Regions from separate parts of the Mus musculus genome. Here region 1 is reported to be linked to region 2. The links are microRNA targets in miRTarBase. Many come from high-throughput screens and were not tested one by one. Region 2 holds a microRNA gene; the other region holds the end of a gene's coding sequence.
The links. Region 2 holds the annotated microRNA mmu-miR-448-5p (GAACAUCCUGCAUAGUGCUGCC, at 1,347-1,368, opposite strand). A microRNA usually pairs through its seed, bases 2 to 8, with sites in the 3' UTR of a target mRNA and lowers its output. Matches are read on the target gene's strand: a 7mer-m8 pairs with bases 2 to 8, a 7mer-A1 pairs with bases 2 to 7 and ends in A, and an 8mer does both.

Region 1 (4,402 bases), not on the chromosome of region 2:
TCGGTGTGCGGGTGGGCAAAAACTAGAGGTGGCTTTCCCTCCAGGACCCCAAAGGGACCTCCGCGCCATCCCTCGGTTCTCTCTGTCTCCCTCCCCCCAGGATCTACACGGGCTGCGACATGGACCGCTTGACCCCGTCGCCCAACGACTCTCCGCGCTCGCAGATCGTGCCCGGCGCCCGCTACGCCATGGCCGGCTCTTTCCTGCAAGACCAGTTCGTGAGCAACTACGCCAAGGCCCGCTTCCACCCGGGCGCCGGCGCGGGTCCCGGGCCGGGCACGGACCGCAGCGTGCCGCACACCAACGGGCTGCTGTCCCCGCAGCAGGCCGAGGACCCGGGCGCGCCGTCGCCGCAGCGCTGGTTCGTCACGCCGGCCAACAACCGGCTGGACTTCGCGGCCTCGGCCTACGACACGGCCACGGACTTCGCCGGCAACGCGGCCACGCTGCTGTCGTATGCGGCCGCGGGCGTGAAGGCGCTGCCCTTGCAGGCCGCGGGCTGCACGGGCCGCCCGCTCGGCTACTACGCCGACCCTTCGGGCTGGGGCGCGCGCAGCCCCCCGCAGTACTGCGGCGCCAAGTCGGGCTCCGTGCTCCCCTGCTGGCCCAACAGCGCCGCGGCCGCCGCGCGCATGGCCGGCGCCAACCCCTATCTGGGCGAGGAGGCCGAGGGCCTGGCGGCCGAGCGCTCGCCGCTGGCGCCCGCCGCCGAGGACGCCAAGCCCAAGGACCTGTCCGACTCCAGCTGGATCGAGACGCCCTCCTCCATCAAATCCATCGACTCCAGCGACTCGGGGATTTACGAGCAGGCCAAGCGGAGGCGGATCTCGCCGGCTGACACGCCGGTGTCTGAGAGCTCGTCCCCGCTCAAGAGCGAGGTGCTGGCCCAGCGGGACTGCGAGAAGAACTGCGCCAAGGACATAGGCGGCTACTATGGCTTCTACTCGCACAGCTAGGCCGCCAGCCCGCTCGCCCGCCCGCCCGTGCCCCCGGCCCCCCAGCTCGGCCCCACGTCCTCCTTCCCAGGCCCGTTCTAGCGCACTCGCTCTTTCACTTGACCCTCGATGACCGTCTGCGGGGATAAGTGCAGGTCTCTCACTATGATTTTAAAACTCTTCTTTTTTCTTTCTTTCTTTCTCTCTACACAGCCTTCTCTGCAGTTAGCGCACCGACCTTGAACCTGGCTGTAAACCTTGTGGTTTTCCAACTTTTCGTCTGTGAGGTTATGATCCTCCCTGTCTTTTTTCCACCCCCTTCTCCTTGCCCCACTCATCCTCTCCTTTCTCTTGGAATGAAACTCTTCAACTTTAGGAGACCTGGGCAATCCTGCCAGGCAGCAGCGATTCCGACCCGCCTTGTCTTGGCCTCCCTATTTAACCATAGGATGTTGACTCTAGAACCTGCACCCACCCAGCGCGTCCTTTCTTATACCCGAGTGGATGGATGGATGGATGGATGGATGGTAGGGATGTTAATACTTTTAGTGGAACAAAGCCTGTGAAATGATTGTATATAGTGTTAATTTATTGTAACGAATGGCTAGTTTTTATTCTCATTGTCAAGGCACAAAACCAGTTCACGCTTAACTTTTTATTCCTTTCCTTTCTTCTCCTTTTCTTTTTCTCCTCTCATTCTTTCTCTTCTCCCACACCCTTTGTTTTCTTGTGAGTTATTAAAGATATTCTAAGAGGCTCTGGAAACACGAAGCACTTCATAGTGGTGGCTTTCTCACTTCTCAGTTCGTTGCATGATGTAACCACTGTGTGCCCTGGTGCACACAATGTAGCTAAGGAGAATCCACCTGAACACCTGTAAAAGCTAGTTGTCTGTTCCTAGGCGAGTCGAGTAAGTGACACGATGCCTGCCAGGCGGACTTAACTGGAGTTCTATGTGTTTCTCCCTTCCTTCTAAATGGAATGGCCCCACATCAGCAATATTATTTTGCCTTATTTGTTTTTCCCCAAAGTGCCAAATCCATTACTGGTCTGTGCAGGTGCCAAATATGCTGATAAACTGTTTCTGACTATCTTTTCAGACCCCACTCCACCTTTATATGCTGTAAATCTTTGTAATGAGTAATCTACTAATGATATAGATGACTGAATTGTTGGTAACTATAGTGTAGTCTAGTGAAGATGAATTGTGTGAGTTGTATATTTTACTGCATTTTAGTTTGAAAAACGATTCCCCCACCACTTAGAGACAGCTGAAATTTGACTTTCTTGGGAAAACACTAGCATTATTGCAAGTAAGACTGATTCCCCCCAAGTCTTGTTATATTTGATAAGGAGCATTAATCCCCCTGGAAATAGATTAGTAGGATTTCTAATGTTGTGTAGCAAACTTATACTTTTTTTGTACTTTAAAATCAATGTGAAATATGCATCATACACAATATTCAATCTAGATTCCAGTCTATGGGGGGATTTGTCCTAATAGGAATTCAGGGTCTAAACGTGGGTATACTTTGGCTCTCCTGTAAATCAAATGTTGTGATTTTTTATATTTGTTTTGTTTTGTCTGTGAATTGAATAATTTATACAAGTACACACTCCACTGAGAATCGTTTTGTTTTCTGCTCGTTTGTATCGTCTGTGTATAACAAGTAAAATAAATCTGGTAAAATGCTAAATATGGTGTTGAGAGCAGTTTACAGTTTGCAAAGAATTATTATAGGTTATGGCTTTTAGGGGTTAAGCAAGACTAGCCCCTCTTCCTAGCTCTGGGCAGTCTGACAGTAGCCACTTCCTACACCCGCTCTTTTATAGTACCACCAGCTATTACTTTTTTCCTATTTATTTACAGTTAGTATAGTTCTCTTTGCTGCTGTATGCCTTTTCTAGGAAAATATATAAACTGTCTTTGTCCCAGCACTCATTCTCTCCGAAGCTGAAATGACAGGACAAGGAGGGTCTGCAGCTGAGCCAAGGATTTCTTTAAAGTTCACACAGTAATTTGTGAGGCATTAGGTTAGAGTAGGGTGCAATATAAGACAAGTCAAGAGACAAACTGTTGCCTGCAGATGCTGAAGATTTGGTTTTACCAAGAGGCCTTGGAGGTGACTGGCGAATCTTTATAAATGCAAACTTGGACGGGCCTTCCTCTCAGAGAGGGAGGTCTCAGGGCATTGTTCCGGGTGAGGTGGAGAAAGACCCACAGAACCAACACAGGGAAAGGTTGTTGTTAAAGAACCGAATTCAAAATTTGCTTTGGAGAGGGGCTGGGGATTGAGGGTGATGCCTGGAGTCACCTCGGTGTCTTCTGTAAGGGGATCCTCGCTTCAGTTGCAGTTTTACCCAGGTCAGGTCCCCACCCTTGAGAGCAAATGGCAATGAGGAATTTCATGAGAAAGTTTGCAAGTCTGTCTTTACCTCATAGAGGCGACTTCTGTACTTTTGTCTCCAAAGAGGGTGATTCCTGAAAGGGACAAGAAAATGGTTCAACCTTCTCCTTTAGTCTCAGTTGGCCTGGAGGTGACAGAATCAAACTCATCAGCACCCAGAGAGTGTCCCGTGTCACCTTTGTGGTGCAACAGATGTAACGAAGCTTCAAAATTGCAATTAAAATGACAAGTCGAGGGGGAGATTTCACCGATTTGCCTTCCCTGGACAATCCCGCCACTAGACGGCGTTCCATGGAGTCTCGTGTGCCATGGAGAGGGAAAAAAATGATGACTGATTTTTTTCCTTTGTTTTTCCTTTCCCCTCTCCTCACCTAAGAAGTAAAGACGACGGGGAAAAAAAGCACCAAACATGGTGTGTGTGTATATGAGTAGGGAGAGGAGTGAGCAGTGTACTCCCGTGACCGTGCACCCGCCCCGGGCTGTGCTCGGAGCCCGCCCGCCCGCTCGCCCGCTCGCCCGCCAGCCCGCTTGGCCTGGCCCAGCAGCAGCAGCACGTGCTGCCCCGGGCCGCGTGCAGGAGCGCGCGCTCGCGGGGGCGTCAGCGCTCCAGGGCGCGTGGCCGCGGGCTGGCCGAGCGCGCGCTCCGACCCCAGACCCGCTCGCGGGAGCGCGCCGTCCCCGAGCGAGCGCCCCCTCCAACCCCCCCCCCCCCCCCCGCCGCCGCCTCCCGGGCCCCGGGTCCAGGCGAGGAGCGAGGCCCGGAGTGGTGTCAAATGCGTAAGCGAAGCCCTTAGCTTCCGAGGAGCGATTTCACAGGAACGGAGCGCCTCGTGCAGCAAAACGCGCCTTAGCTGCTCTTAGCCAGCTTCAAAAACACTGGCGAGGTCGTTTCCCTCGCAGCTCCGCCATCTGCTGTGTGGACTGAGTCAGCGTGAGGGAAAGCTGCAGCCACGCGCTCCTCTCGGGGGCCGCGTGCTTTCCGGGCCCCCTGACGGCACCCAGGCTGGGTGGCTGCGGAGCGAGGGGACCGTGGCTGCGGACGGGCGACTGGGGCCCTGG
Region 2 (4,402 bases):
TTGTAATTGCTAGGTCTCAGAGATCAAACTCTGTTGGTCAGTCTTAGAAATAAATGTCTTTTTATGCTGAGTCATCTACCATCAAATACCTGTTGGTATTTTGTTAAGTTTTACTGAGATGAGTATCTAAGCAACTTGTCTAGTGTTTGAAAACTAGAGATAAAATTATTTATGTATTTATGTGACATTGGCCAATAATTCTGAAACTTCTAGAAACAACAATAGGTTCAGAAAGAATAAATTATAGTTTGTCTGAATATAAGGTAAAATGATCTAGATGTCTTAATTATTTAAGAACAAGTACTAAAAACAGAAAACTGGGGAAACTTCATTTCAGTGACACATTTCATAAAATTTCTTACTCAAATCTTTGCAAAATAAATGCAAGATTTATTTTTTTAACCTTTACTCTTTAATTAGTCATCAACCTTATGGAAAAATCTATGTCTAACCCATATAAGTCATACTCTTATTCTTTTTATGTGGAAACAGAAAAATCAAACATATTTACTCATGACTACAAATACATTTGAAAAACAGTAATATTTAAATGTTGAGTAAATAAATGTTTATTTCACAAGATATTTCATGAGGCAAGCCTAATCTTGAAAATGAGTTGTAAATATGTATCATTACATATAATATAATTATATGTCCCTTGGATCTGACTGGGTGCTTGATCTAACAATTATGTTTTCAAAATATTGGGGGACATACCACTTTCTCTCTTGCAATCATTCCTATCTGCTCTATGTACCTTGGATTCTTGACTATTAGATTGTTTCTACCCTATTTACAATTACTGAATCCTTGCTGGACACCTGATATGAGGCATATGGCTTCTTAGTATTCCATTTTTAACTTTTCTAACTTCTACTCTATAAATGACATTCTTTCTTTAAGTAGGGATTAGATTATCTCTTACTCTAGGTACTCTGCCTTAGAGTTTCCTAAATTAAAATGTACAACTACCAAATCTTCTTATACTGGCGTCATGTAAAGAGAGGGTGATACAATTTATTCAGTTCTGCCTGTGAGTCTATAAGAATTTCTGCAGACTCTTGCTATCCCCTTTGTTGATATTTATAAATCCACTAGTATATCTTCTTCCTCTTGTATTCTAAAAGTATTTTAGTTAGCCTCCACCCTCTAATAAATATATCCATCAAAATATTTTCCTAACAATATAACTGAACATATTTGTTTCTTCCACGAATAAACTTTATGGCTCTTCAGTCAAGCAGAATGGTGTTTCCAGTATCTGTCATGACGAAGTGGGCCAGGAGATGGGACATCCTACATATGCAACCAGCCAGCCCCCTCTTAGTATGAAGTAGGGATTTCCTGGCAGCACTATGCAGGATGTTCAACCTCCTCGTCCATGGGAAGGACAACTGCTGCACATGGAACTTCTTTTCTCTTTTGGAGGACTTGCCATTGGTTGATGCTTCTCTGTGCAATTGATGACACGAAGGCTTCTTCTGACCTTGTCTTCTGTTCTGAATGGAATGGCATTGAGTACTGATAATCAGAATGGCCTAAAAACCTGATAATCAATAATCCACCCTTTTGACCAATTATTCTCCAAATGTCAGAACTATCAACATTTATAGAACTTTAAAATAATTGTCTCCATAATACAGGTTCCATAGCACTTTACGAGTTACCCTTTCTAGAAATATTCCAAGTTTAGGCAACCCCAACTGCCTACAGTTAATTTTTTCTTTAAATAATATGCCCACAGTTTTCTTGCACTATAGAACAGTCAGTTTGTACTACTTGAAGGAGTATACTGCACATAATTTTTGAACAATGCTGGCACAGACTAAGTTAACCATTTGTTAATTAACAAAAATGTAGTCCTAAGCAACATGCTGAGATCACAGATTGTGGTTCTGTAATATGATGAGAAAACCCTGAATGGATTAATTATGTAGGGCATAGTATAGCATCTAATTTTCAGCTGAGAAAATTCTGCCTGCTCTGCTCACTCAAGTATCACGCCTGAGGACTTTGTGTTATTTCTAAGTTGTGACCCTAAAAGTCCACTAGAAACTCACACCTGGGTTGTTTATTATGAGCTACAAATAATTTTTACAAAGCATTCTGTAATTGCTCAAATGAGAAAGTTCCATAACTCTAAGGCTTTCTATACACCTTTGAAATTTTTATTATTTTGAGAATTATATATATTGCTTCTTTTTTAAAATCATGTTCTGCTCCTTCTCTTTTCTCTGTCCGTGTCCAACCATCATTCCACATCTACCCAACTTTATGTCTTCGTTTTTAAAACCCCGAGTCCCATTACTTCTTCCTTTATACTCACAGGTATGTGTTTATCTCCTGGAGTGTGATATTCCTATCGGGAACACATATAATCAAGAATAATTCTAACTCTCCTGAAAGGTGTGACTTTAAATTAATCTACTTCCACTCAGACTGCAAGCCATTCCTATGGAATTATGATAAACATTTCCATTTCTCTATTCATATATTATTTTCAGAGTGGTTTGATATGTATAAGGACATATCAAAAACTTTGCATTATGTGCCTTCCCAAGTATATGATAATGATGATTTTTAGCTACATTTGTCATATATAGGTCAATGATGTAGGAGAGGGAATACGAATTGTGACATTAATTTTATGTTTCTATATGTTCTTCTTTGATTTGGGTCCATTGTTTTAAGAGGCTGATAATAAGAAAGAGAGATACAAGTATGTCTTTAGTACATGTTCATTTCTGCCAGACATTAAACAATTTCTCACTTTCTGTTAGCTACAGCCATCTTGAGGCAGAGTATATCTATATCTGAAACAAACATTATAAGCCAAAGTAGGAAGAATGTTTAGGTTAGATACACATTTATTTTACTGGCAGAAACAAACACCTATAAAGTATGGTGTTGTTTGTTACATCGTATGTATTATATCCATATTTTATAAGTGAATGTTGTACATATGATAATTTCATATTATATATAATATGTATGATGACACATGCCCTATTAAACTTGACTCGGTACTATAGGATGTTTTGGTCAATAGTATGCACACAGCTTGGCTCCAGTATGTATTAGAATGCTACATGCTTTTCTTAATTTGATGTAATTTTAGTAATAACTGGGTCCCCTCCAATGATTGACTTTTCTCTTAATTTGTTGATTTTGGCTTTTTTTGTGGAGACTGACACCTGTAAAATAACCCTTTTCAAGAACCCTTCCTGCTCTTCCAGGTAAACCTCTACACTAAGTAATGACCCAGCAGAAGCTGTACTTATATGGACAGCCCTTTCTGAAATTCTGACTCTGGTTAAACCCCAACCCCCCTTAGCATGTCTTCCAACTGTATTCTGTCTCTAACCTAACACATTTTTGGTACCATAATCTTCTCTTTATATTTGATATACTGGAAAGTTTTGGAAAGTATAATCTGCCTGGGTACTCTGAAATGTGTCCTGTGTTATAGTGAACAGCCCAGGTACCAGTACTTTTATGTCTCATGATGTCACAATTAATCTCATTATTGGCATCATCTTTGCTCAGACTTTCAGCCAATAAGGATAGACTAAGTAGTATACAGTGACCTCATTTCAACCAGTGGTCTCAGTCTCACTCTGGTCAGGCCAAGTGGCAGTTCACTCACCCAAAACAGCTCATGTTTGCCAGTTAGTCTAGCCTCCACGTTTTGAAACAAGATCCTTGGAAGAACAATAGACAACGTGTCATTTTGTCTCCAAGCAGCCTATAGACTTTGGGTTTTCAATATTTTCTTTGTGTTGGATGCCTCTGTATTGAAATCTTCAACTCTTTTCAGATTACTATCAAGACTGAATATGGAAAGTATTGGAAACTCCTGATATAACACTACAATAGACTGTCAAGGTTTCTTGGTTTGAACATCTCATTTACAACATGGATGTGTGAATGTGAACTAATTCTGCTGAACCAGACCTCACAATGGGAAGAGGTTTCTTTCCCCGATTTTTCTATCATGATCTTGAAGACATCTATGCAGCCATTAACGGGCTACATCCACCCATCATCCATCGAAAATGTCTGTGTCCATATTTCTTCAACATGCTTCTAGAAATAGTTAATCAACATGGGGGTGGATTTAAGTATTTCCATTTAATAAAAGAAATTGTGAAATATCATCTTGATGCCTATAAGGCTCTTTTATCATAGATTTTTATTTGAGAGGTGGCATACCATGTGGAAGTAGCATAAAATTTTTGAGTTCAAATAGTTTATCTATGTGAAATAGTAGTTGTCCTTTAGTTTTTGTAAATATATCTAGTAATAAACTTCAATTTAGAAACATTTCTTGTTGTTTAAAGTATAAAATATTGGTTGTAGTATTTGTTATTTTATTTAATAAGATGTAAACTGTTTATGTATT

Region 1: miRTarBase lists Tbr1 as a target of mmu-miR-448-5p. Seed matches in the 3' UTR shown: 7mer-m8 at 1,383-1,389 and 8mer at 1,467-1,474.

Annotation. Positions count from the first base shown.
Region 1 is chr2:61,811,483-61,815,884 of GRCm38, forward strand. Tbr1 (T-box brain transcription factor 1) reads left to right here. Exons shown (of 6, transcript NM_009322.3): 6 at 101-2,632. The coding sequence ends at 956. Among named protein-coding and RNA genes, the nearest start is that of Tbr1, 9.2 kb to the left of the region's middle.
Region 2 is chrX:147,155,187-147,159,588 of GRCm38, reverse strand. It overlaps Mir448 (microRNA 448), which reads right to left and starts at 1,379; the gene lies at 1,268-1,379. All of the region lies in intron 4 of Htr2c (5-hydroxytryptamine (serotonin) receptor 2C), which reads right to left.